Ovis aries: one gene and its partners. The main gene of each other region encodes a partner of the protein of the gene in region 2 in a complex. Links are inferred from orthologs where the notes say so. Each region holds a gene or a part of one and is shown on either strand. Other genes may lie near its edges. The genes, in order: UBTF, RRN3, TAF1C, POLR2F, TAF1A, TAF1B and POLR1C.

Region 1 (4,125 bases), on a different chromosome or scaffold from region 2:
ACTCGCCCCGGGTCTCCAGGCGTCCACCGCACCCACGGCTCGCTCCCCGCCGCCTGGCCCCGGCCCCGACCCGGCGCGCGTCCTCAGCCGCCTCGGTTACCCGGCGCAGCGCGGCCTCCGGGCTTCCCGCTCCGGCGGCTCCCTCCCCGGCTCTGATCGGCGGCGCCCTCCCCCGCTCGGCCGGGCACAGCCGCAGCTCCCTCCCGCGGCGGCAGCGGCTCCTCCTCCGGGCGCGGCGGCGGCGGCGCTGGGGCGGCGGCTGCTGCTGTGGCGGCGGCGGCTGCGGCTGTGGCTGCTGCCTGCTGCTCCTCGCGGCGAAAAGCACAAAGCACAGCGCCCTCCGCCTGCAGGCAGCCCGCCCGCCGCCCGCCCGCCGGCCCCGGCCTCAGCTCGCACACCCCCCGCCGCCGCCGCAGCCTCCGCCGCCGGAGCGGGGAGGAGGAGGGAGAAGGGAGGAGGAGGAGCGGGAGGGGGGGCGGGAGAAGCGGGGCAGCGAGCGCGTCCTTCCCCGTAGAGCGCACACCGACCCCCGGGGAGCGAGCGCCAGCCCGCCCGCCTCGCCGGCTCCGCTCCCTCCCACAGCCTGCCCGGGCGGGCTCCGCGGGGGGCAGCTGGGAGGAGGGGCGGGAGCTGGGGGGACCCGGGCGGCCGAGGCGGAGGGAAGGAAGGAGGGGAGGGGGGTAGTGCTGGTGGTGGTGGTGGTGGTGGCGGCGGCGGCGGCTGCTGCTGCCGCCGGGGAGGGGGGGGGGGGGTCGGGGCAGGGAGACACGCAGCCGCCCGGATGGCGGCGGGGCTCGGAGCCGAGGCGGGCGGGCGCCGAGAGCGACCTCGCCAGACCCGCGGGGGAACTAGCAGGCTCGGCCGGCGCAGGAGGGAGGGCGCGAGGCGCGACCGCAGAGAGGGTGCCGGAGGGCCCCCCGGCAGCTGGAGAGGCTCCGGGGGTGTTTGCAGCCCAGCTCCAGAGCTCTCTCCCCCAGCTCAGATTCGGGCTTCCACTCCAGCCCTCACCCGCTCACTCGCCCGCCTCCCGGAGCGGGCATTTCGCGCCCACCCTTATCCCCGGAGCGTAGCCACCGGCTTGGGGCGCACGCAAGCCAATCGCCGTGCCAGGCTTCGGAGCCTGCCTCGCTGCTAAGCAGCACACACACGAAACTTGAAAAAAAAAAAAATCCCTAAAAAATGTCCTCTTTGCAAATTAAAACAGAAAAAAAAAATCTTCTTTGCTCTTTAAATCCCACAAGCGGCGATAAAGCTACGAGTCGGCGGAGGAGCCTCTGTGGGAGCTGGTTCAATCCAGCCCGGCATGGCTCCCCAGGCCTGCCCGGGCGCATGGAGATCGGCGCCGCCGCCACTCGTAGAAACCCCTCTCCCCCGAAATCCGCGGCGCCGGGGCTCACTTACCGAGCGTGTGAATGGGAGCACGGGCCAAGGGCGCCTTAAGGGTGCGGCGGGCCGAAGAGCTGAGCCGCAGCTCCGCCGCAGCCGACGCCGGGGCAGCAAGCCGCCAGACAAAGCCCGAGATGGCGAAGCGGAGCGACGGCTAATGGCGAGCCCCACGCGCCGCGCTCCGCCCGCCCCGCTCCGCCCGCCCGCCCGCCCGCCTCGGCGCAGCGCAGCGCCGCTCCGAGCGCTAGCCCGTCAGAGCCGCCTCGGCGCCGCCGCCTCCCGGGCCACCCCGGCCTCGCCTGGCCCCTCCGCCTCCTCCGGGCGACTCAGCCTCACCCCTTCCCTCCCACCGTGCTGGGGGCTGCACGAAAATAAAAAAAAAGAAAAGGAAAAATGCTTTTCTTTTTTTTTCCTCCTTTTGGCAGGGCGGGCGTGTTGAGACTTTCGAGTCTTTTTGCCCCCAGCTCGCACTCACCTGCGGAGCCGCCGGGAGGGCTGGGGGTGGGGGCGCGTGGGGCTGGAGCCGGCGAGCGCGGGTTGAAAGCTAGCCAAGCTCTGCAGCGCCCGACCCGGGCGTATACGCCGCCGCCAGTCCCCGCAGAGAAATCGTCCTCCTACCCCCGCCTCCATCGCTCTGCGTTTCTCTTCCAATCAGCCGATCGCTTGGCGGCTCCTCCATTCTCCGGCCAAGCCTGCTGCCTAGAGCGAGCTCCACTCCTCCATCTGCTCGCCCGGCTCCTCGCTCCCCTGCCGGGGCCGGCGAGGCGACGTTGGGCCGGAGGGGGATTTGCGAGGGAACCTGCCGGCTTCCCGCTCCCATTGCTCCCTCCCCGCTGCCTCCTGCTTCTCTCCTGCGTCTTTCCAACTCTCCCCTGTCGCCACTGGTGTGTGTCTGAGTGTATGCGCGGGTTTCTTTCTTTTTTTTTTTTTTTTTTTATTGCTCTTTGCTTTTGCAACCCTGGAGCCAAAGCAGGGTGGGGGGGAGAGAAAAGGGGGGGAAGGGTGTTACCAAAAAAAAAAAAAAAAAGCAAGCAAGAAAAGCTCTTAGGTTTGCAACACATTGGAAAACCGGGGGAGTGCCCCGCCTCGTCCGTTCTCGGTGCCCCGCGAGGGCCTTCCGGGTTTTAGAGCGAACCTCTCGCTATTCTCAATGCCCCTCACCTCCTCCGAGTTTAGGATCCGAGGAGTCCGAGCAAAGAGTTCTCCCCTTGGGCCATAGTAAAGGGGTGTCAGGGTGAGAGTTGGGGGCATTTTTCAAGAAGCAGCAACCATCCGTCCCACCCCTGCTTCGGTAGCTGGGCCGCGGGAGTCGGTTGAGAGCAAAAATCCCGGTGGGTTTAGGCGAAGGGGATTCCGGGGCGAAGCGGAGCCGCGAGACCGCGCTTCGCGCATCTCCCCTTCGGTCTCTGCCTCCAGTCTCCAGCCTGCTCCCCCTTTAATTTCCAAACCCCCCCCCCCCTCCTTTAATCTAATTTCTTCCAACTCCACCTTTGTTGTTAACCGGCGTCACGCCCGGACCAGCCAATCCCCGGCACGCTATCAGCTTGTCAAAAAGGCTTGGCCAGCCCTGGGAAAGCAGGCCGCGGGCTCTGCTCCCCCTGCCCCTCCTCCCCCCGGCGGCGGCGGGGAGCCGCGAGGGGAGCCTGGCACCCCGGCCTCGCCGCCAGAGCCCCAGCGGGGCAGCCTTCCCGTAGGCCTCCGCTCTCCACCATCCTGCGGGCCGGAGATAGAAAGGCCTAGGCGCGACCACCATCTACCCTCCCACTGCCGTCGGCTGCGGTTGTCTGTCTCTGCCTCTCCTCCACCGAGAAAGGTTCATCTGGACGCAGGAAGCCAGAAGACGGTCTGAAGAACGCTTGCTTCCATCAGGCGAGCCTACGGTTTGGGCCATCGCTCCGGGGCGGCGCCATCGCCCCCGGCTCTAGGGATGCCAGCCTACCACAGCGGCACTGCCAGCTGGGCCGCCGGCCCCTTTGGACTCTTCCCCTGTCACACAGCCTTCTCCATCCCCACACCACGGCCTCGCTGTTGCTGTAATTTATCTTGTCCCCTGGGAGAACTGAGAGTCCTTTCCCAGGACTTCCACAGCCCACATCTGCCACGTTTCACAAACCGGGAGGAAAATCTTGTCAAGATCTGGTGTGTCCGAATTTTTTAGTGGGTAGGCGGGGCCAATTTACCTTGATGCTAGTGAAGCTTAAGCTTCAGGGCCCTCATCGCAGGCTATCTCTTTACTTTTGATTCATCATTTGGTATTATTTTTTACTCGCCCCTCCCCCTCCCCACAAACCCAGTTCTGCCCTTGGAACTTACAGAGGGCATTTTGTGAAGGACCAAGCCATGTCACGCTGTACTTAGAACCTGCTGCTGCTGCTGCTAAGTCGCTTCAGTCGTGTCCGACTCTGCGTGACCCCACAGACGGCAGCCCACCAGGCTCCTCCGACTCTGGGATTCTCCAGGCAAGAATACTGGAGTGGGTTGCCATTTCCTTCTCCAACTTAGAACCTGCAGGGAATGACTTTCTTGTTTTGACTTCGAAACATCAAAGGGTTTGGAGTCAGAAGTCCCAGGTTTCCAGCCTCTGGGCTTTCCCACCTTAACAGTGTGAGTTTGGTTAAATGTCTTAACTTCATCTGATCCCAGTTTTCTTGTCTATAAAATTAGAATAGCAGCTGTGTGGTTACTTCAGTCCCGAGGGTCGCTCGGCAATTGCATCGGCGGCGAGTATCCTGCAGCATT
Region 2 (3,500 bases):
ATTGAGTTTAACCTTCCTACCCATGAACAGTACTCTCCTAGACTAGGACTAGGAAGCTATGAAATAGCGCAAAGAAGAGTCCTGTGTTCTTTTGCTTTGTTCTCAAAACAGAAAAACAAACTCTTCCGAGTTTTAAAATCCTGGATTAAAACTTTAGTTTGGGCTAGTTAATATCAACTGAAACAGAATTTAAAAAAATAAAGTTACATACTGTATATGCGGTTTTTAAAAATTGGAATATAATTGCTTTACAACTGTGTCCATATGAGATTTTAGTGAAGGCTTGAATTAAAGGGAAGGACACCACCTAGTGGACCAAACGCAGGACGACGTTTTCAGAGCACAGCTTCAGCTGATGGGCAGCAACGCCCTCGGCTCCTTCCACAGGTTGAGAAGGGCTTTCTATTTGACTAGAGGCACTAAGTAAAATGAGCTCCAGACAAAGAAATGGTCGATTCATGGTCCCTCTTCAACATTTCCCTCCACCCCTCATTTTTTAAGGAAAACTTGGGGCAAGAATAACAGAAGCTACGATAACGCAAATGACATACTCACCAATTTAAAGCTACAGAGGTAAAACATGAAAAACTGCACATGGCAAGAGGCATGGGTGGGCAACAGGAGCTTGTCAAAGATGGTTATGAGATCCCGATATAAATCTTTTGTTTTGTTGTTATCAATCTTACCTGTGAAGAAAATTTGGCATTTCAGTTCTATACATTATTTTCAAGCCACGAGTTTCATTTACATTTTAAAAAAGCAAACAAAACCATTAAGAAATACTTCATCCATGAAGCTAATGGGGGGTCGGGGTGGGGGCATAGGAGGCCATCTTTATCTGGCACAGAGTTTCCATTTCAATTATAAAAATCCAGGACTGGTAAGGAAGTGGGCCCTCATCTCACACACACCACTATAATTCCACACATTGGAAAAATCACCATATACAAGTTCTACTGCTAGGAATTTATCACAAGCAAACACGTGACAATATAGGTATAAGTATGTTCATTACACTATTACTTACAATGGCAAATAAAGCAGGGGGAGGAAAAAAATAAGGAACCAGTTAAACCCATATGATTAATAACTATTTTAGAAGAACCGTGAATTGTATGAGAAAATGTTCTTAAGAGGTAAAAAGGGAAGATTATAAAATACTACATATAGTGTGACTCCCCCGGAGAAGGCAATGGCACCCCACTCCAGTACTCTTGCCTGGAAAATCCCATGGACAGAGGAGCCTGGTAGGCTGCAGTCCATGCAGTCGCTAAGAGTCGGACACGACCGAGCGACTTCACTTTCACTTTTCACTGTCATGCATTGGAGAAGGAAATGGCAACCTACTCCAGTGTTCTTGCCTGGAGAATCCCAGGGACAGGGGAGCCTGGTGGGCTTCCATCTATGGGGTCGCACAGAGTCGGACACGACTGAAGCGACTTAGCAGCAGCAGCAGCAGTGTGATTCCCCAAATCCGTTGAGAAAAACATATACACCCACGCAAACAGAACAGAAAAAAATTTAAAAATGCTAATAATGGTCCTCCAAATAGGAGTGTGTGACCATAAACCGTCTTTAAAAAAAAAAATCATTTCCTGTATTTTCCAAATCTCCTCTAACCAACATGTATTACTTTTATAGCAGCAAAAAAGTTAAAGTAGTAACATACTCAACTCAGATTCAAGCCCTATTATTCTGAGTGGTTGAGTTTCATTCTTAATCTGAGAAATGCAAATAGAAAAAAAACTGCTTTTTTCAAGGCAAAGTGTCTAGACTAAAAATCTAAAAATTCCATTAAAGGCAAGAAACATATCAATTTGTCCACCAACACTTGGAACAACCAAAAGTACCCAGACTCTAAATTTCAAACATAACACCAAGTGTGTCCATGCATGCGTGCTAAGTCGCTTCAGTCATGTCTGACTCTTTGCAATCACATGGACTGTAGCCTACCAGGTTCCTCTGTCCATGGGATTCTCTAGGCAAGAATACTGGAGTAGGTTGCCATGCCTTCCTCCAGGGGATCTTCCAGACCCAGGGATCAAATCCGCATCCTCTTAACATGTCCTGCATTGGCAGACACACTCTTCACAAGCGCCACCCGAAAAGCCCCAAATATCTACTATGTGTACGTATGCTTGGTCATGTCCAACTCTTTGCAATCTCATGGACTGTAGCCCACCAGGCTCCTCTGTCCAATACTGGGGTGGGTTGCCATTTCCTTCTCCAAAATATCCACTATACCATTCTTAAATGTCTCCAGCTTGAGGTCCACTTTAAACTGTCCAAACTCCGTATATAATCTTTTAATACAGTAGGCAGTGAAAAGACCACCAAGGCCTTTGAAGACAAACACAACTGAGTCTGGGTCCCAGGCCCACTATTCTCAAGCTATGTCACGTTGGCAAACAATCTCTCTAAACTTTCTTTTCCTCATACTCAAAACAAGGGTTTTTATCGTGATTTTCTATCAGTATGCCCAGCACAGTGCATCCCAGCTGTGGCTACTGCAGGCTGTTACCGTCCACATAGCAGACGTCCTTAATGTAGGACAAGAGTAAAGACAGGAGGATGTCCAGGCGCTCAGCCATGGGATGGACCATCTGATCGAGCCTTCCCGGATCAGCCTCAGTTTTGTGGTCAGCTTCCTCATCTTCATCCTTTGAAGGTAAAGTAAAAACTGACGTTTTAAAAACTCAGTAAAAGTAGTTTAGGGAGAAAACCCTGAGGTAAACTGTTTCCTTTAAAAGATAAAGGGAAAACCCAGAAGTCTTGCCAGGCAGAGGCTGTCAACCAGAGGCATGAATCAGAATCACCCTTGGAACTCAACATGAAAGCACAGATCCAGCCTCTGACTCTCATGTAGAAGAGCCACCTACAGTGTGACCGTGCAAACATCACAGCTTTCCCCCAGTTTCTGGCACAAACTCTTGGTGCCGGGTTTCCTTTCCTGGGACGGGGCACCCACCCCCTCAGCTACTATGAGCACTGGCTGCCAGCTCACAGCTGCCCCATTCTCTGGAGAACTGCCTTGGCTCCTCCCAACCCTCCCAATCAGACCTAGTAACTGACATGAGGTCACAAGAGGCCATTCCCCCCAGTCTCAAGGTAGGACTAACTCTGTCCCGTAACTCATGCTCCAGAGCTCCTGGGGGGGATCAGGCTGCAGTGACTTCCAATCGAAACCCAACTCTCCCTTCCTTCCTCCCCCTGCCCTTCCTGCTTCCCCACACCCTGTGTCCCAAGGGCACCTGCATCCCCATCTCAGGCTCCTCCCAGTGAACCCAAGTTAAGACACAGCTCCGAGCAGAGAGGCACTGCGTGAAGGTACACAATTTGTAGAACACAGGAATCACACTGACGTGCTTTTCTACGTATCACTCCTCCACAAACAATAAGTGGTGTACAGAAACAAACTTAAGGAACAGACGGAAGAGTAAAAGGGAAACAGACTTCACCAAAACCAGATTCAAAGCCTTGGAAATGAACTCTACTAGTCA
Region 3 (4,283 bases), on a different chromosome or scaffold from region 2:
CCATCACGCTCTCACGTATTACATTATAATTACACAGTCCTACCTAGACGACAAGCCCCACACTCTAGGTTACACTCTAAAGACAAACTCAAGTTCCCCAAAGCCAGAGATGAGTTATTATTTGTCTGCCTTCCCACTGTCAAGTACAGTACCTTCCAACAAAAAGGAACCAACTGTGTGTTGAATAATAATGTTTATGTCAAAGGGCTTTGGTGACTGCAGCCATGAAATTCAAAGATCTCTGCTCCTTGGAAAGGGACACCATGACAAACCTAGACAGTGTATTAAAAAGCAGAGACACTTTGCCAACAAAGGTCCATATAGTCAAAATTTGTTTCTTTTCAGTAGTCATATATGGATGTGAGAGTTGGACCAAAAAGAAGCCTGAGCACTGAAGAACTGATGCTTTCAAACTGTGGTGTGGGAGAAGATTCTTCAGAGTCCCTTGGACTGCAGGTAGATCAGCCAGTCAATCCTAAAGGAAATCAACCCTGAATATTCACTGGAAGGACTGAAGCTTAAGCTCCAATACTTTGGCCATCTGATGCGAAGAGCCGCCTCATTGGAAAAGACTAAAACTGGGAAAGATTGAAGGCAGAAGGAGAAGAGGGTGGCAGAGAATGAGATGGTTAGATAGCATCACTGACTCAGTGGACGTGAACTTGAGCAAACTCCAAGAAATAGTGACAGACGGGGAAGTCTGGTGTGCTGCAGTCTGTGGGGGTCACAAAGAGTGTGAACAACAACAAAATACAAAGTGCTCAACAAGAATAAGCAGCTGGAATATCCTTTAATACACGCAAAAATAAGAGCAGTTCTCACTTACTGAGTGCCAGCATCTGCCTGACATGGTACTACAAGTTTTATTCTCCTGCCCCTCATATGGAGGTCAGGAAACAGGCTGGGAAAGAGCAACTTGCCCAAGGCCAATAGCGTGATCCTCCAGCGGCTCCAAAACCCCAGTTCTAAACCACAACTCTCTCTGCATCCAGAAGCGAGCACCAGCCTCAGAGCCTGATGATGCAAAACCTTTCCTCTTAGAGCTACCACTGCATGTATCCATTTATTTTGTAACCTCTATACCTCCAGGTACTCTGAGCACCTTGCAAAGTGCTCACCACACAGTAAATGTTGGTAGATGGTAAAGAATCTCCCTGCAATGCAGAAGATTGAGGTTTGATTCTTGGGTAGGGAAGATCCCCTGGAGAAGGGAATGGCAACCCTCTGCGGTATTCTTGCCTGGAGAATTCCATGGACAGAGGAGCCTGGAAGGTTACAGTCCATGGGGTCACAAAGAGTCGGACACAACTAAGTGACTAGCACTTTCACTTTTCAAACGAGGAACTTCCCCTGTGGTCCAGTGTCTAAGACACCTCACTCCCAATGCAGAGGGCCCAGGTTCGACTCCTGGTCGCAGAACTAGATCCCATATGCTGCAACTAAGAGTTCGAATGCCACAACTAAAGATTCTGAGTGCCACAACTAAGACCCAGTGCAGTCATGTAAATAAATAAATAATAAAAAAACTTGTCAAAAGAATGTGTTTCTCAGGGCACGAGTCAGCCTCATTCTAATTGTGGCTTATATGCTTTATCTCTTCCTCGGGACTGCTCTCTGGGACAGGAACTGTATCAGATTCATTTCTGACCTCCTGGCATCTGATTGTTGTTGTCTTTCTCCTTCATCACAGGAGAGGACAGTGGTGGGAATGCGTCTTTTCACCAGAGGACCTTTTCACACTCTCTCTCCACTAAAAATGAACACCATTGTCCTTCCTACCCACCTAAAAAATCTGCCCCCATCCTTCAGATTTTGAGTCAGGAAGCCTCTCCTGGTTCTCCCAGCCCTGTCCCACATCACCCTGCATCCCTCCTCTGGAGCACGCATTGCGATGTGTGATAAGATATTTAAAGCTAAAGCTATGTGATTCCAAACTGCTCTGAGAGTCCGCATGGGGAAGGGACTTTATCCCCGGTGCCTGCCTTATTTACTACGTGATGGATAGGAAAGCCTGGAGCACTGCATGCAGTCCATGGGCTCGCAAAGAGTCGGACACGACTGAGCAACTGAAATGAACTGAAATCAGTACGTAAAAGCTGAAGGCACAAATCCAAGAATGAGGAACTTGACAGTCTCAAACAAACGCAGGGAGGCTGAGGGAGCTGGTGGAGCCCACGACCTCAGAGAACCCCCGAGACAAGACAGCCTCGATTTCCCGCCCTCATCTCTCCCGGACTCGAATTTAGACCTCCGGAGTTTCGTCGGGTCTGCACGAACGCCGGGTGCGGCAATAGGTGCGCCTGCCCGGGGATGGGAGAGGGGATCCGGGAGGCCCTTCCCTTTAGACCTCTACTCGCCCACGTCCTCCCCATCCGTCTCCTCCCTCTCCACGTCGAGGCCCCAGAATTTCAACCCAAGAACAGCAGGCATCTCGCACCAAGCGCTGTATGCCAGACAGTTGTTGCTACGACGCTTTACAACGGCGTGATGCTCCCCGTTCCATGAGCCAGCGGCTGCTCACCACCAACTCTGCAAAGGTTGGGCGACTCGTCCCAAAGCCACACAGTTTGGAGCCTGTGGATGCGAGCACGGGGACCCGCCCCTCCGTCCCGTCGGGGCGGCGCGCGCACTTACGTAATCCCGTCGCGCCGTGCTCGTCGGGGAAACCGACCTCCGCGTGACGCTCGCTTGACCCTCGTGCCACGAGGGAGCCCCAAGGCAGAACCCTAGCTCTTGAGCCCGCAACCCGACAGCTCCACAGAAGCGATGAACCGCCTCCCCCGGCTGGGCCGGAAATGCTTCATGGAAGGCAGGAAGTCCCGCCTCCCAGCCCGGCCTAAGGGGCGCTCCAGAGCGCCACCTCCCGGGCGGAGGGAGAATGCGAGTGCAGATGGCGCCGTGGGCACTGGAAATTAAGTAAAAGTGAAAGTGAAAGTGAAGTCGCTCAGCCGTGTCCGATTCTTTGCGACCCCATGGACTGAAGCCCGCCAGGCTCCTCTGTCCATGGGATTCTCCAGGCGAGACTACTGGAGTGGGTTGCCATGCTCTCCTCCAGGGGATCTTCCTGACCCAGGGATCGTACCTGCGTCTTTTCCAACTCCTGCATTGCAGGCAGATTCTTTACCGTGAGCCACCAGGGAAGTCCTCAGAATTGTCTTTCTTGAGGTCAATCCTTGAACCGTTTGGGAGACTGAATCTACCTTGCTCCATATCTGCTCTTCCAAGTCAAATGTTAACAGGTGCTACCAACTGTTTCTCTACGCCTTAGCGTCCACATTGCCCCCGTCCTGGCTCGTGTTGTCAGATCCGAAGGTAGCAAGCAGCAGCAGCAGCAGCAACAGCAACACAACTTACAGACCATAAACTCAGTAACTGGTCACATTTTCCCGGTCACTGGCTCCTCAAGACTGTTAAAATTTTCATCTCCTTCAAGCAACCGTGCTGCATGATAGCAAGCCACATGTAAATTGTCTTCATCCTCAACTTTATTTTTGTTATTTCTCCTTCATCGCTAGACCCTCATTTTTAAGAATTGCTATCTTGACATGTTTTTACGAACCAACACAGATTCACTTCTGAGGAAAAAAAAAAAAAAAAGCGGGGGTGGGGTGGGGAGGGCAGGATATCAAATGACTAATTTTAGCTAGAGCCCACGTGGAACACTTACAGTTGGCTTCAGGAAGGCTTAAGGTGAACAGATTTTAAATGTAGGCCCTAAAGACTCTGTGAGGCTGCTACAAATGAAAACACCATCACTTACAGAATGAGCACCTCCCATCCTCCTCTAGGCTCAGCTGCTTAAGCAGCTGGGGAGGGCAGGCTGGCAAAATGGGGAGTGCAGGGCATCCTTGGACGGCAGCAGGGGTGAGGTGCTGAACTTGGGTCCCCAGACTCCTCCCCTGGTCTTTGTTTCCCGAATACCACACAAACAAGCGCAGAGAAGAAGATGATAGGACGGTCTTGTCCTCCACCCTCACCTTACACCCGGAGCCCCGCCCTTGAAATAAGGAGGTTGGCCAGGTGGCCACTTAGTCCACATCCAGGCTCAAGCTGCCTGGGAGACTAGCCTTCCCATTGGCTGGGCATACTGTCCTGCTACAGTTTTATGGGCTCTCATTGGCTACGAGTGAGGCGGGAGGCGGAGCTCACCATGCGCGGACGGTTGTACCACGTGCTCCCCACGTGGGCGCTCGCTCTGGCGTGTAAAAAGGCGCAGGTGGCGCCAGAACGTGCCTGCTGTTCCCTCCCGCCCTCGAGTCCAGCCATGGCTTCACAGGCCAGCA
Region 4 (3,090 bases), on a different chromosome or scaffold from region 2:
TCAGCCCTTGCTCCAGCTGCTGACTTGGCCAGCGGGGCTCTCTCGGGGAGGGCAGATCACTGCGTCCCCAAGCTTCCTGCTGGGGGCACTGGCTCCTGAAAGGGGATCCCAGCCCACGATAAGAGGCTCGAGGCAGGTCCTCAGGAGAACAATGGGTGGCTTGATGAGACCTGCTCTGTGATACTCCTGAGAAGGGAGAAGCCCCTGCAGCCAGTCCACACTGGAAAGGAAATTGGGGGTTTCCGTGGCAACCAGCTTCCTGGGCACAAAGGCGCGTCTGTCTGCTAGGAAGGCAGCCGAGGTGTCTCCTGCAGCAGCCTCTGCTCTGGTGGACTGTGAGATGGAGGGGGGCACGCAGGGGAGCCCAGGGGGTCAGGGCTCTGGTGCTTCTTAAAGAGCTGATGGTCCCAGGGCCACTGGGATGCGCACAGCCTCCAGGCAGCAGGATGGTAACAGTGAAGACGCAGGTGGGCCTCACAGGCAGCGGGAGGCAGAAGGGGTTGAAAGGTTGAAGAATTTACTATTTACACGTATAAAGACTATAAAAAGACTATGAGATGAGCCACGGGCGGAGGCCCAGTCCAGAGGCTGACTCCAGCTCAGTCGGTGATGATGAGCTCGTCGACGCCCCAGTCTTCGTAGCTCCCGTCGGGCAGGTAGCGGCGAATGATGATGGGGATCTTCCGGGCCCTGTGACCGGGGGAAATCGAGGTACATGGGTGCTGACCCTGGCTTTGCAGCAGAGGGACAGCAGGCGCAGAAGGCAAGGGAGGAGAAGCCTTAGGAGCATCCTCTTGAGACCACGGATGTACTTCGTAGGTGAGGAATTTCAGCAAAAAAAAAAGAAAAGTCCCTGCTTCTCTGAGTGTGGGACCAAAATCTACAAAGGGCCTGCCATCCCACAGCGAAGGGCGAGGCAGAAAGCAGAGGGATGTTGGTAAGGCCAACTGCAGCAGGAAAAAGGGACGATGGGACAGACAGGGACGGTCCATGTCTCGTCAATGTCCTCCCCTCCCCCTTGGCCCGTCCCCTCCTCCCCGGTGAAGGGCTGACTCCCAAACTAAGGGTCTACAGGAACAAGACCACACGTCCCCAGCAGGGAAGTGCGGGAAGGCGCGCAGCAGAGCACCCAAGGGATGCCCCCAGGGCTCTGGAGCCACAAACCAGGATCTGGGTGACTTACTTGAGCTCCTTCATGGCGATCAGTAAAGGATCTGTCTCCCCCTCCAGCTCCACCATCACAGGGGCGCACATCCTGCAGGTGTAAGGACAGGTGTGGGGAGATCACACACACAGGGAGAAGGCCCAGCATGAAGCTGGGCAGTTTCACAAACAGGATCGGATCAGCGCCCCAGAGCTCACCTAGAAAGGGCCCCAAGAAAGGGCACCTCCCAAAAGCGGCAGGTGCGGAGCAGCGGTCCAGGGCTGCCGACAGTGAGGGTACTTGAGTGGCAGCCAGTAGACTAGGCTTAAACTGGGCCTGAAAGACCCTGAATGTCTCTCCAAATCTCAGCATCCTCATTTGAAAATGAAGACAAAAAGCCCTGCCACGCCTACACAACAATAATGCTAAAACGCTGCTGGCTACAAGCAAAGCCTCACTAGGCGCCATAGCTGCTCTCCACCCACCACGTGGATGTCTCATTTGTAGTAAGCACTACTGCTACTTCCGTTTTACTGAGGAGGAAACTGAGGCACAGGGAGGTCAGTAATTTCCTCAAGGTCACACAGCCAGTGAGTGGTAGAACCAAGATTTGAACCCTGAAGACTCCTCTCTACTATTCTGTAACACCTCCCATTAAAAAACTGGTGATCCACAAACTGAAGCCAGGTACTGTGAAAGGGACAAGTGTGAGCTGTCATTACTGGGTCGTGTGACACTCATCACGTCCACTACCCTGGCCAAGGACCTTCCCCAGGGCCTGTCACAGACTCCTGAGCCCACGGCCACAGCAGAATATTCCCACACAAAGGACCCACATGTGCAAGAGCTCACCCTCTGATCACTCTACTCAACCCCCAGCCCTGCCTCAGGGCCTAGCTCGCCTCGTCTTCCTTCTCTGTCTTGGCAACACCCCCTGCAGGGGTCCTGCTCCTCTAGCCCCTACACAAGGCCTGTGGTCAGGCTCTCCCCTGCTTACCTCTCTTCCTTGATACCCCATGGCCAACAGGCAGGCAGGACCTCCTCTGGCCCCCACTCACCTCTGCAGTACTTTCTCATGCTACCTGCCTCTATTCACCCTACATTCCAGCCACATCAAACCACTATAGCTTCTTATGCAGGCCCTGTTGTTTCCCTTCTGCATCCTCACACGACTGCTTCCTCTTCTTACAGGCCTGAGAGAGGCTCAGAGGTCTCCACCCTGGAAAGCACGCGCTGAAGCCTCAGGGCCCTGACTCATCTCACACACACTTCTCTCAACACCACTGTCACTAAACTGTGACTTCCCGTTTGAAGTTTTCCAAACAAGACCTGGTGGTCCAGGACCCCAAGTTCTATTCTAGTGCAACACCTGGCCCACAGCAGAGGGTCTAAAAGCAGACAAACCAGTTCCAGGCCCATCTCCTCTAGGAAGTCACCCTTATTGATTCCAACTCAAGTTTACACTAATGGACCCCAAACCTGATAGGAGAGCGTGCTAAAAATACAGGTTCCCAGGTCCTTCCCCAGACCCGCTGAACAGATTCTCTAGTGAAGGAGCCTGAGAACCTATATTAGCAAAGCTCCCCTGGTGATTCAGATAACCAGCCAGTCTGAGAGCCACCAGTTTACACTAAATGATCTACTAATTTTATTGCTAAATATTCTGATGTCTGTTACTCCCCAAAGCCTGAAAATTCCCCAGGGGCAGAAACCAAGTATTTAACTTTCTCTATATCTTCTCTCAATAATTATTTAAACTTCCCCCAACATTTAAGAATGTGGCAAACTGCTTTCCCTGACATGCATATGCCTTATTTCTTTCAAGATATGAATAATTCAAGAGCAGTCATTCATCCAGCCCTGCTACATTCACAGGAAATGTGAGAGTGTGCCCTCAATGTCTCCACCAGGGTTTCCAAGTGGCAACCTTCCTTGGGAAGCAGCCA
Region 5 (3,500 bases), on a different chromosome or scaffold from region 2:
GGAAAATCCTTGGATTCTTTTTCTAGGGATGTAATACATACAAATAAAATGCCTCAGAGACCAAAAAATAAAAATAAATAAAAATGTTATCTTCAATATGTATCTTAAATGCTCACCTTCTTTAGACTTCTGGCTCAAAATGACATTGTTAATGACACCTGGTATTTTCATCAACAGGAAAAGCTTTTAATCACATAAAATGTAATAATAGTTTCATTGGGTGAAGTATAGTAAAATGTTGACAGTAGTGGTATCTAGAAAAAGGAATTATAGGTTGTTTTTTAATGTTGTAATCAGAAGAAAATAGCTTTCTGAGACATTGGTTAAGGCAGGGGTTTTACAGTTTTGTTAGTAACTTCTGTTTTGACAGATTATTTGGAGGCTTGGAAGTGAAATTCTTTATTATCATCCCAAAAGCAACCTGGAGACTTTCAATACCTTTGCCGACCGGATGAAAAATATTGGCGTCACGAATTACTTGAAGGTGAGAATGTAGGCTTTGTGCATTTACATCTGCAGCGTTCGTTTTTTAAAATTGCTCGTCTCAGTGATAAGGCAGGTAAGAGTGTAGAAAAGATGGGGAAGGGAGTAACACACCTGGGTCAATAAGAGAAGCTGAAAGAAAGATTGCATTAGGGAGCCACTTACTTCCCCGTTTCCTGTCGCCTACCACGTTGTGGGAGCACAAATATCTTCTCTCTGTGTATCTCTGGCTGCCAGAACCAGTCCTCCAGAATGGCTTGTGTGCTTCACTATGATGATGGACCAAATTCTGATATGTTTGCTTAAGTCAGTTGAGCTCTCTAAGAATTGGTGCTTTTGGAAAAGGGAAAGAGCTAAACAAATTGGGAATTTGAATACTTGAGAAAAGTTTTCCAGCTTTGTTGCGATATAATCGACATGTGATTTAATTTCGTTGAGGATATACAATGTGATAATTTGATAGCATGTGTATATTGCCAAATATTTACGTCAGTGTGGTTAGTTAACATCGCCATCCCCTCACATAATATCGTTTTGTTGTTGCTATGTTGAGAATGTTCAAATTCTACCCTTGTGGCAGCTTTCAAGTTAACAATGCCATAGTCACCATGCTGTACATTAGACCCTCAAACTTACTCATCTTATAATTGAAAGTTTGTGTCCCTTGACTATTCCAGCCCTCAGCCTATGGCAACCAGCATTCTACTCTGTTTCTATGGGTTGGATGTTTTTAGATTCCACCTGAAAGTGAGATGAGAGAATATTACTTTTTTTGTGTGACTTATTTCCCTAAGCGTCATGTCCTCAAAGCTCATCCATGTTGCCACACATGCAAGATCTCATTCTTTTGCGTGACTGAATAATACACCATTGTATATATGTTTGTATACAATATTTTCCTTGTCCATTCATCCATCATTGCTCACTTAGATTGCTTCCATGTCTTGGCTCTTGTGAATAGTGTTTCAGTGAACATGGAAGTGCAGACATCTCGTCCAGATAGTGATTTCAACTTTGGATATATATGCCAATGTGGACTGCTGGATTGTATATTAGGTCAGCTTTTAATTTATTAGAGGAACCACCATACCACCATTCTCCATAGTGGCTAGACCACTTTACATTCCAAAGGGAATGTATACCAGCAGTATACAGCAGTTCCCTTTTCTCCACATCCTTACCAACACTTGTTATTCCTCGTCTTTTGTTTTGTTTTCCTTTTGGTTGTGCTGGGTCTTTGTTGCTATGGGGGCCCTTTCTCGTTGCTGTGGACGGCAGCTATTCCTCCTTGCAGGGTACGGGCTTCTCATTGCAGTGGCTTCTCTTGTTGCGGAGCACCCGCTCTAGGTGCACGGGCATCAGTAGTTGCAGCACGCAGTCTTTAGTTGCTCCGTGGCATGTGGAATTTTTCTGGGATTCCACGTGTGAAACATGGGATTCCACATAGGAATCAAACCTGTGTGCCCTGCATTGGTGGGTGGATTCCCATCCACTGTACCGCCAGGGAAGTCCTCTCTTGTCTTTTTGATGCTAGCCATTCTAGCTCATTTGAAGTGGGGGAATTCCTTGGCTATCCAGTGGTTAGGGTGCAGAACTTTCACTATTGTGGCCCAAATTTAAGTTATTTATTTATTTTCAATTGGAGGATAATTGCTTTGCAATATCATGTTGGTTTCTGCCATACATCAACATGAATCAGCCATAGGTATACATATGTCCCCTTTTTCTTGAACCTCCTCCCCTAACCTTTTTTTTTTTTAAAAATATTTATTTATTTGGCTGCACCGGGTCTTAGTTGCAACATTCGAGATCTAGTTCCCTGACCCTCGCATTGGGAATCAAGCCCCAGCCCTCTGCATTGGGAGCACGGAGTCTTAGCTACTGGACCACCAGAGAAGTCCCTCTCCTGCCCATTTTTAATTGTAATATGTTTTTTGTTGTTCTTGCTATTGAGCTGTATGAGTTCTTTATCGATTTTAGGTGTTTCTTATCAGATACATGATTTGAAAATATTTTCTCCCATTCAGTAGACTGCCTTTTCATTTTGTTGATGGTTCCTTTGTTGTGCAGAGGCTTTTTAGTTTGATGCAGTCCCACTTGTTTATTTTCACTTTCATTGCCTGTGCTTTTGGTGTCATACCCCAAGAATTCATTACCAAGACCAATATCAAGGGGTTTTTTTCCCCTCTGTTTTCTTCTGAGAGCTTTAGTTTCAGATCTTACCTTTAAGTCCTTAATCCATTTTGAGTTAATTTTTGTGAGTGTAAAATGTAAATTAAGGGTCCAATTTCATTCTTCTGCAATAAACATCTATAGTTTCCCCAACATCATTCATTCATTAAAGAGTTTAACCTTTGCCCTTTGAGTATTCTTGGCTCCTTTGTCAAATATTAGTTGACAACATATGGATGGGCTTATTTCTGGACTCCCAATTCTGTTCCACTTGTCTGATGTGTCTGTTTTGAATGCTATAGTTTGGTAATATAGATTGAAATAAGAAAGTGTGATGCCTGCAGCATTGTTCTTTCTCAAGATTGTTTTGGCTATTCACGGTTTTTATGTGAATAATAAAAATTTTGCATCCAGATTTGAAGATTGTGTTTTCTATTTATGTGAAAAATAGCACTGGTATTTTGATAGGTATTACATTGAATCCAAAGATGGCTTTGGGTATTATGGGTAGTGTGGACATTTTCACAGTAGTACAGACATTTTCACAGTATTAACTTCTGATCTATGTGTGAAAATGTTTCATTGTTTCTCATGTTTAGGCGGAGTTTTATCCAAATTAAAGTGTCCTTTAATAAAAGTTTTATCCAAAAGAATTGACATCCTCCAAAATGTTATGATAATCTCCCTCTCTGTGATATATATTTGATTAAAAGCACTTTCTCAATCAAGTTTTGACACGCTTTGCTTTTTAATTTTTTCTAGTACCTCTAAATACAGTTTTGTTGGAACATTGCCACACCCATTCATTTCCATATCGCCAGTAGCTACTTTTAGCCAGACAATGG
Region 6 (3,500 bases), on a different chromosome or scaffold from region 2:
GCAGTATCTCTCTGTATATTATAGTGGTTTTAATTCTACTTCTTACTCTCAGGAAGAGTTAGGTGAGAAATACTATTAAGTTATACACACTGGTCAGAAAACACTACCACCATCGTTTCTGTCCAATAGCAACTATGTGAGCTAGATACTTGCCATAACCCAGCCCAAGCCAGTTATATTTTGGTAATTCCTTGCATTCTTTCCATATCTTAGTGTTCTTCATTATGAGCTTACGATTTTGGAGTATATAATAGAACAGAGGAACCCGCCATATTTTGAAAGAACCACTCCAAAAGTAACTCAAAAAACCAAAATCCAAAACAATAAACTGATATATGTAACATGCCAAAGTGCAGAAATCAGACTTCCCAAATTCTGGAATCTTAATCAAAGAGCCAGTGACTTCTAAAGTTACAGCAACATTCCTTAGCTTAATAAATGATACCTTTGAGAAGCTTATTTTTTCCTCTTTAAAAAATATTTTATAAGACTTAGATTTATATTTGTATACATGTTACTCCAATTTATGTTTATTTTTATAGCTAAAATTATATCATACATGCAGTTTTATATATATTTTTTTCATATAACATGTCTTTTCCTTTCCTATTAAAAATATATTCAATCACATTTTTTTATACTGCATAAGCAATAATATAGTCATGCCATGTTTGTATTTTCTGTTAAGAATAGAAACCCTGCAGTTCTCACATTTCTAGTTTAGCAAGAAATTCAGGAGTAGATTCCATCGGCGAATTCCGCTGGGGTGACCTGTGTCTTGGTGTATTGTGAAGAAGGGTAGTGAGGCTGCCTTTGCATCCTACCAGACCTTCATCTCCATTTGTTTCAGGGACTGGAAATAGCAATGTTACTAAATAATAAAAATATCACTGTAGATTAACTTCTGGGATTTTAAAAATTGGAATTCTTTATTTAATAATCATGCTTCATGCAAATGAAGGAGTGCTGCCCTTTTTTGGTAGAGGTTCCTAAGTAATTAATAATACATACTGAATCATGTGTTACTTGTATTCAGCAAAAATTTACTGTAAAAACCAAACATTATCTTTCAAGCTTATCCCTCCCATCCAAAACAGAACTCATTACTTCTGAAAGTGTCCTTTTAACCATTTTAAATGGTCCAAAACATTTTAAGAAAGAATTTTGAAGTTAAGCTTCATGTTACTGTAGACCCTGTCAGGTGACTCTAATAGTCTCTGATTGAGAGGATTCAATACATTTTTCATAATAATTCAATAAGTCAAGGCTTACTCATAATATATACCTCACACTTACCAGGGAGATTGACCTCCATCAAGTATTTCATACACAAGATGTTTGGATGAAGATAGCAGTTTTCAGTTATGTCTGGAAAACGCGGCAAATCTAAGAATGTGGCAACTTCAATTATTTTTTTAAAGATAACTTCATAGTTAGGCCAAGACTGGAATGAAAGAGATAGTCAAAGTAGCAATTTCTGCAACATAAATTATTTTAAAAACTACTTCCTGATTTTAAAAATAACATGTATTCACTGAATAAAACTTGGAGTATAGATTAAAAACATTAAGGAGAAACACCCATAAACCCCAAATATCCTCACTGAGCTGTTTTAAACAGTAATAGTGATAAATTAAAAAGCCACTAAAATTCTATCTGGCTCTAACAATTCTTACTGGCCTTAATGATATAGTGAAGCCATTACTTCTTGCCAATCATAGAAGAATCTGGGATAAAGCTGCAATCCTACTGGAATTATGATGTCATCATAATCCCGGCAAAGCAGGACTTTCTGCTCGCCTTCCCTAACCAGCACCCTCTTGCCAACCTTCAAATTCACAGCTAACAGATTCAGTTCAGTGTTACATAATATTCACATGCTTCTATGTTGGAGATGACACCAGGGCTTAAGTCTAATAGTTAAAAATGTGGGATTCAGCTTTCTATTTTCTCACATTAGCCTCTAAGAAAGAGTATCTTACAGAATTCAGGAAAATGTATGAGCCAATATTAATAAATTAATTCTGTTCATTTTACAGGCACCCTTGTAGTTAATTTGGTATGCTATTTATATTTTTGCAATTTCCAAACATTCTTCTCATTGATACTACATATAATTTTTCCTCATTTACTTATCCATTCACATAAAAATATTAAATTTAGAGTCTATTCTATGTAAGATACTTCAGGAAATATAAAGATGAATAAAGTGATCTCTTCAAGGAATATATACTCTAGAAAAGGAGGTCAGTATTCAAAAATAACTATAGGATAAGATAGCTGTTAAGTGCTACAACCAAGATTTTTTTTTTAAGATCTATGGAATTTCAGAAAGACTAACATTCTGACATGGTTGGACCTCATTAAAATTAGGCTAGAATACAAACATTCTGGAAACCTGTTTGGCAATATTTATTACAGTTGACTGGAGGTATAGAGTTAGATTACTCTCAGGGTGCAGGTGATCATGACTGGAAGTTGGGACTGGATGGAGCTTCTGGGGTACAGAGATCATTGTTTCTTGATCTAGAGGGCTGGTTCAGGTAATGAAAGTTCATCAGGTTGGGTACATTTGTGATATGTTCACTTTTCTGTATGCATGTCTAGCTTAAAAAAACATGGTAAGAGAGAAACTTCAGTAAACTATTTTGTGTAACAATCACTTCATACATCACGCTACAGGAGAAATCATCCAACCAGCAAATTCAGAGTTGGCAAGACCTTTAAAGGTATCTGGTCTAAATTTGCAAAACCCCTAGCAGGTGTATGTCTAGCTCTTTTAAATCCCCAGTGATGGGAACTCAATACCTTTCCTGAAGGTAGTCTATTCAATTTGTAATGCATTTAATCATTACAAAGTTTTTCCTTATTCTAAGTAAAAATCTGTTTCCCAACAATTTGTACCAATAATATTGCTCTGTCATGTCTTGCCCATTTTCTATATATGTGAAGGTGTGTGGGAACCAAGTGAAGGGACAAATATGTCTCTGTTCAATGTTACTTTGGTACATTCAGCTTACATGCAATTATAAAGCACAAGGGAATACATTATAATGGTACTGGCTCAGATGGTACAGCATCTGCCTGCAATGCTGGAGACCTGGGTTCGATCCATCCTTGGGAGAAGGAAATGCCAACTCACTCCAGTACTCTTGCCTGGAAAATCCCATGAACAGAAGAGCCTGGTGAGCCATAGTCCACAGGGTCGCAAAGAGTCGGACATGACTGAGCGACTTACTTACAGAAAACAAACTGTAAATTTCCAGAATTTATAACTATGTCCAATTTTACTTTGCTTGAGGTTACAACCTTCTTTGTATTGTATTTATTTTGATACTGGTATTTCAGATCTAAACTTTTCATTCCTTATGATTATACAGTGGAAGTGAGAAATAGATTTAAGGGACTAGATCTGATAGATAGAGTGCCTGATGAACTATGGACAGAGGTTCGTGACACTGTACAGGAGACAGGGATCAAGACCATCCCTATGGAAAAGA
Region 7 (4,039 bases), on a different chromosome or scaffold from region 2:
TTCTATACAACCTGGTGTTTCACTCCAAGGGAAAATTAAAGGGGGGAAAGCTCTTAGTGTGGTGGCTTTAGGAGACAGATGCACAAGAGAAGCTGTTATAACCACCCATCCTCCCAATAATAAATAGACCGTCCCTAATCAAATAAGTCAAGTGGGCCTTAAGAAGCATTACTATGAGCAAGGCTAGTGGAGGTGATGGAATTCCAGTTGAACTATTTAAAAGCCTAAAAGATGATGCTGTTAAAGTACAGCACTCAATATGCCAGCAAATTTGGAAAAACTAAGCAGTGACCACAAGACTGGAAAAGGTCAGTTTTCATTCCAATCCCAAAGAAAGGCAATGCCAAACAATGTCCAAACTACTGCACAACTGCAGTCGTTTCACATGCCAGCAAAATTATGCTCAAAATTCCCCAAGCTAGGCTTCAATGGTATGTGAACCAAGAACTTCCAGATGTTCAAGCTGGATTTAGAAAAGGCAGAGGAACTAGAGGCCAAATTGCCAACATCCTCTGGATCATAGAAAAAGCAAGAGAAGTCCAGAAAAACATTTACTTCTGCTTCAATGAGTAAGCTAAAGCCTTTGACTGTGTGGATCACAACTGTGGAAAATTAAAGAGATGAGAATACCAGACCACATTGCCTGCCTCCTGAAAAACCTGTATGCAGATCCAGAAGCAACAGTCAGAACTGGAGATGGAACAATGGACTGGTTCAAAATTGGGGAAGGAGGACGTCAAGGCTGTGTATTGTCACCCTGCTTATTTAACTTATATGCAGAGTACTAGATGAAGCACAAGCTGCAGTCAAGATTGCTGGGAGAAATATCAATAACCTCAGATACGTAGGTGACACGATCCTAACGGCAGAAACCGAAGAGGAACTAAACAGCCTCTTGATGAAAGTGAAAGAGAAGAGTGAAAAAGCTGGCTTAAAACTCAACATTCAAAAAACTAAGATCATGGCATCTGAACCATCATTTCATGACAGACAAACGGGGAAAAAATGGTAACAGTGACAGACTTCATTTTCTTGGGCTCCAAAGTTACTGCAGACGGTGACTGCAGCCTTGAAAGACACTTGCTCCTTGGAAGAAAAGCTATGACAAAGCTAGACAGCACATTAAAAAGCAGAGACATCACTTTGCTGACAAAGGTCCATATAGTCACAGCTATGGTTTTTCCAGTAGCCGTGCATGGATGTGAGAGAAAGCTGAGTGCCAAAGAATTGATGCCTTCGAATTGTGGTGCTGGAGAAGACTCTTGAGAGTTCCTTAGACAACAAGGAAGATCAAATGATCAAACCAGTCAATCCTAGAAGAAATAAACCCTGAACATTCATTGAAGGACTGAGGCTGAAGCTGAAGCTCCAATACTTTGGCCACGCAATGCCAAGAGCTGACTCACTGCAAACGAGTGATGCTGGGAAAGATTGAGGGCAAGAGGAGAAGTGGGTGACAGAGGATGAGATGGTTGGATGGTATCACTGACTCAATGGACATGAGTTTGAGCAAACTCCAGGAGATACTGAACGACAGGGAAGCTTGTCGTGCTGCATTCCCTGGGGTCACAAAGTCAGACCCAACTGAGCAACTGAAGAACAACAACAAAGAAACCTGCACCCATTCAAGGAATTAAAATAATGGAGTGGGGCTAGAAAGACCCTCAGGTGGTCTCCTCACTCGTGTGGACACTCGTATTCTTCTGTGAGTGCCTGCTTTCCCTTCTCCTTAATAAATTGCTTCTTTGTTCTCTCTACACCTCAGTTTCTCTGTGTGACATTTTTTTGCACTTTGGACAGGTAGAATAAGAACCTGGACCTTTACTTTAGCATGTCCCACATCACAAGTATGGCAGGAGACAGACGGGCTCCAGCTGAGGAATTTCCTATCAGCCTCCTGTTTGCCCTCCAGAAACGAAGAGAGAACAGAAACAGAGTCAACAGTCTTTGTCTCTAGTAAATATCTTGAAGAAATAATTATAGCAAGAACAAAGCAAGGCGAAATCCCTCGTCTGAGTAAGGATTAAGGGATCTCCGCTTCCCCCTTTTTAGGATAAGGAAGATACATCACAAGTGCAGAAAGGCTACTTGGGGTCAAAAGTCAGAGGATAATTCAGGCCATAACGAGTCTTGCTCTTCCCAGAAGCCTTCACTTCCAGATCCATCTTGGCTAAGAGGTGAGTGTGCATCCCATGGGAGGGTCCTGCCCGTGTGCCTTTCTACATGTACTTCTCTTTTCAATCAACTTCGTACTTTACTCTGTACCTTCTGCCTCCTCGCCTGAATTCGTTCTTGACTAGGCAGACAAGGACTAGGGACTCTAGCCCTAACTGCTGGCTCCTGTGGTCGTAGTTAGGACTACCGGTGGGGGAAGCTACAACCCCGCTTCCAGCTACCGCCCTCTGCCCCTTGCTGCAAGCTGCCCTTTTCTGCTGCGCCTTGGAAATTACAAGGACAGCTTCTAAGGCACAGGTTGCTCATATCACAAAGTCCGATCCCACAGTTCCAGCTCCACCTACCTTCTCAAAGCGGTCCTGGTCCCAGGCATCATCGTAGCCGCAATAGTTACCGGGAAAGTCAGTGGTATGAACCTAGAGCAAAGAGAGACGAGAATGTCTGCGAAGGGGCAGCGAGGCCAAGCCCGTCCCCACTCTGACGCCAACTCATCCCTGATTCACTCTGCTCCCGAGCTGAAGGCCACAAGACTTACATTGCGAACCCCAAACTCCCCTAGAACCACGCGGGTCCTCATTTCCTCCACAGCCTGGGCCGCCGCCATCTTCAACTCCTCCACGTGACCAGAGTACCTAACTGATGCGTGCGCACTAGTCGTCCGCCTCCGTTTCTGTAGCAACGCACCTCCTAGAATCTTAAATATCGCGAGACTGTGCCTTGCCTCCGTCCACGTCCCCAGCTACCGGAAGTTGGTTTGAGCCAAACATCCGGGTTTCTCCTTTTTTTGCATTCCGACCCATAGTACCTTTCTTTCTTGTCCCTAGACCTGTCCCTTTCTCAGGCCCGCATCTCTCCCACTCCTCCTCCGCGCGCGGGACAAGCACGGGCTTCAGCGACGGGAGCCCTCGAGGGACATGGCAACTCCGGCGGCGCCGGCTGGCGGCGCCCGAAACGGGACCGGCCCGGAATGGGGAGGGTTCGAAGAAAACATCCAGGTAATGGCCCCACGGCTCCGGCTGCCCGCAGCCCCTGGGCCGGCAGCCGCCCTGAACTCTCCCTCAGAGCCTGGAAGTCTGGTCCATTTGCAACACTTTTTATCTTCTTTTGAGTCTTCGTGCACAAGAAAGGCAGTGGGGCTAGTGCTGGTCTTAAAGCTCCAGACTGGTACTCCAGCCAGGGGCCTTAGGTATCTGGGCCCAATTGCTCTTGCTTTCCACAAGTTTAGGAAAGTCAGTCGGAGACAGGCATGGCGGGAGTGGGCTTGGGGGTGGATGGGATTCACTAGCCAAAACCACACTTGGTGCGCATAGCCTTGTTTTGGGGTTGGGAGAGATGAAGGAAATGGGCACTTTGCAGCCCTTTGGGGCCTTGGTAGGGAAGGTAGGAAAAAGCCGTGTATGGAAGACAGGGACTAGGTTCCCCAGACTAGAACAGAGCACCAAACAAGCAGGGGTTCTGAGACCAAATGAGGAGAAGAGAGTGGCGTCATCTGTGGCGATTTCAAGTCCCCTAGCCCCAAACCTTGTGGTGAACGGAGAAGGACTCAACTGGACGAAGCAGAAAGGTCCTGCACTCTAGGGTCTGTTGTCTTCACAGGGTGGGGGCTCAGCAGTGATTGACATGGAGAACATGGATGATACCTCAGGCTCCAGCTTCGAGGACATGGGTGAGCTGCATCAGCGCCTGCGTGAGGAAGAAGTGGATGCTGATGCAGCTGCTGCTGAAGAAGAGGATGGGGAGTTCCTGGGGATGAAGGGCTTTAAGGGACAGCTGAGCCGGCAGGTGGCTGATCAGGTAAGCACAGTTGGCTCCCTGACAGGTGGAAAAGTATACCGAGGAGACCTCTGGTTCTGGAGTTGGTGAA

The links.
Region 1: RRN3 (region 2) and UBTF share a complex: the UniProt entries of both Homo sapiens proteins name them as parts of the pol I pre-initiation complex. The link is inferred for Ovis aries from reciprocal best matches to the Homo sapiens genes RRN3 and UBTF.
Region 3: RRN3 (region 2) and TAF1C share a complex: the UniProt entries of both Homo sapiens proteins name them as parts of the pol I pre-initiation complex. The link is inferred for Ovis aries from reciprocal best matches to the Homo sapiens genes RRN3 and TAF1C.
Region 4: RRN3 (region 2) and POLR2F share a complex: the UniProt entries of both Homo sapiens proteins name them as parts of the pol I pre-initiation complex. The link is inferred for Ovis aries from reciprocal best matches to the Homo sapiens genes RRN3 and POLR2F.
Region 5: RRN3 (region 2) and TAF1A share a complex: the UniProt entries of both Homo sapiens proteins name them as parts of the pol I pre-initiation complex. The link is inferred for Ovis aries from reciprocal best matches to the Homo sapiens genes RRN3 and TAF1A.
Region 6: RRN3 (region 2) and TAF1B share a complex: the UniProt entries of both Homo sapiens proteins name them as parts of the pol I pre-initiation complex. The link is inferred for Ovis aries from reciprocal best matches to the Homo sapiens genes RRN3 and TAF1B.
Region 7: RRN3 (region 2) and POLR1C share a complex: the UniProt entries of both Homo sapiens proteins name them as parts of the pol I pre-initiation complex. The link is inferred for Ovis aries from reciprocal best matches to the Homo sapiens genes RRN3 and POLR1C.

Annotation. Positions count from the first base shown.
Region 1 is NC_056064.1:43,773,890-43,778,014, forward strand, and holds the start of UBTF (nucleolar transcription factor 1), read right to left. Parts: upstream 2,801-4,125; 5' UTR 2,548-2,800; intron 1,966-2,547; exon of another isoform or gene 1,862-1,965; intron 1,672-1,861; exon of another isoform or gene 1-1,671. UniProt on the Homo sapiens protein: Recognizes the ribosomal RNA gene promoter and activates transcription mediated by RNA polymerase I (Pol I) through cooperative interactions with the transcription factor SL1/TIF-IB complex.
Region 2 is NC_056077.1:14,207,756-14,211,255, reverse strand, and holds part of RRN3 (RNA polymerase I-specific transcription initiation factor RRN3), read right to left. Parts: intron 2,661-3,500; coding exon 2,522-2,660; intron 687-2,521; coding exon 556-686; intron 1-555. UniProt on the Homo sapiens protein: Required for efficient transcription initiation by RNA polymerase I (Pol I). Required for the formation of the competent pre-initiation complex (PIC).
Region 3 is NC_056067.1:10,019,641-10,023,923, forward strand, and holds the start of TAF1C (TATA box-binding protein-associated factor RNA polymerase I subunit C), read right to left. Parts: upstream 2,801-4,283; 5' UTR 2,635-2,800; intron 1-2,634. Other genes in the region: ADAD2 (adenosine deaminase domain-containing protein 2), read left to right, coding at 4,151-4,283. UniProt on the Homo sapiens protein: Component of the transcription factor SL1/TIF-IB complex, which is involved in the assembly of the PIC (pre-initiation complex) during RNA polymerase I-dependent transcription.
Region 4 is NC_056056.1:215,583,207-215,586,296, reverse strand, and holds the end of POLR2F (DNA-directed RNA polymerases I, II, and III subunit RPABC2), read right to left. Parts: intron 1,256-3,090; coding exon 1,184-1,255; intron 691-1,183; coding exon 600-690; 3' UTR 501-599; downstream 1-500. UniProt on the Homo sapiens protein: DNA-dependent RNA polymerase catalyzes the transcription of DNA into RNA using the four ribonucleoside triphosphates as substrates.
Region 5 is NC_056065.1:25,301,704-25,305,203, reverse strand, and holds part of TAF1A (TATA box-binding protein-associated factor RNA polymerase I subunit A), read left to right. Parts: coding exon of another isoform or gene 1-26; exon of another isoform or gene 27-53; intron 54-370; coding exon 371-484; intron 485-3,500. UniProt on the Homo sapiens protein: Component of the transcription factor SL1/TIF-IB complex, which is involved in the assembly of the PIC (pre-initiation complex) during RNA polymerase I-dependent transcription.
Region 6 is NC_056056.1:19,132,124-19,135,623, reverse strand, and holds part of TAF1B (TATA box-binding protein-associated factor RNA polymerase I subunit B), read right to left. Parts: intron 3,072-3,500; exon of another isoform or gene 3,054-3,071; intron 1,445-3,053; coding exon 1,297-1,444; intron 1-1,296. UniProt on the Homo sapiens protein: Component of RNA polymerase I core factor complex that acts as a GTF2B/TFIIB-like factor and plays a key role in multiple steps during transcription initiation such as pre-initiation complex (PIC) assembly and postpolymerase recruitment events in polymerase I (Pol I) transcription.
Region 7 is NC_056073.1:17,058,249-17,062,287, reverse strand, and holds the start of POLR1C (DNA-directed RNA polymerases I and III subunit RPAC1), read right to left. Parts: upstream 2,801-4,039; 5' UTR 2,780-2,800; coding exon 2,711-2,779; intron 2,592-2,710; coding exon 2,520-2,591; intron 1-2,519. Other genes in the region: protein YIPF3, read left to right, coding at 3,090-3,170, 3,772-3,969. UniProt on the Homo sapiens protein: DNA-dependent RNA polymerase catalyzes the transcription of DNA into RNA using the four ribonucleoside triphosphates as substrates.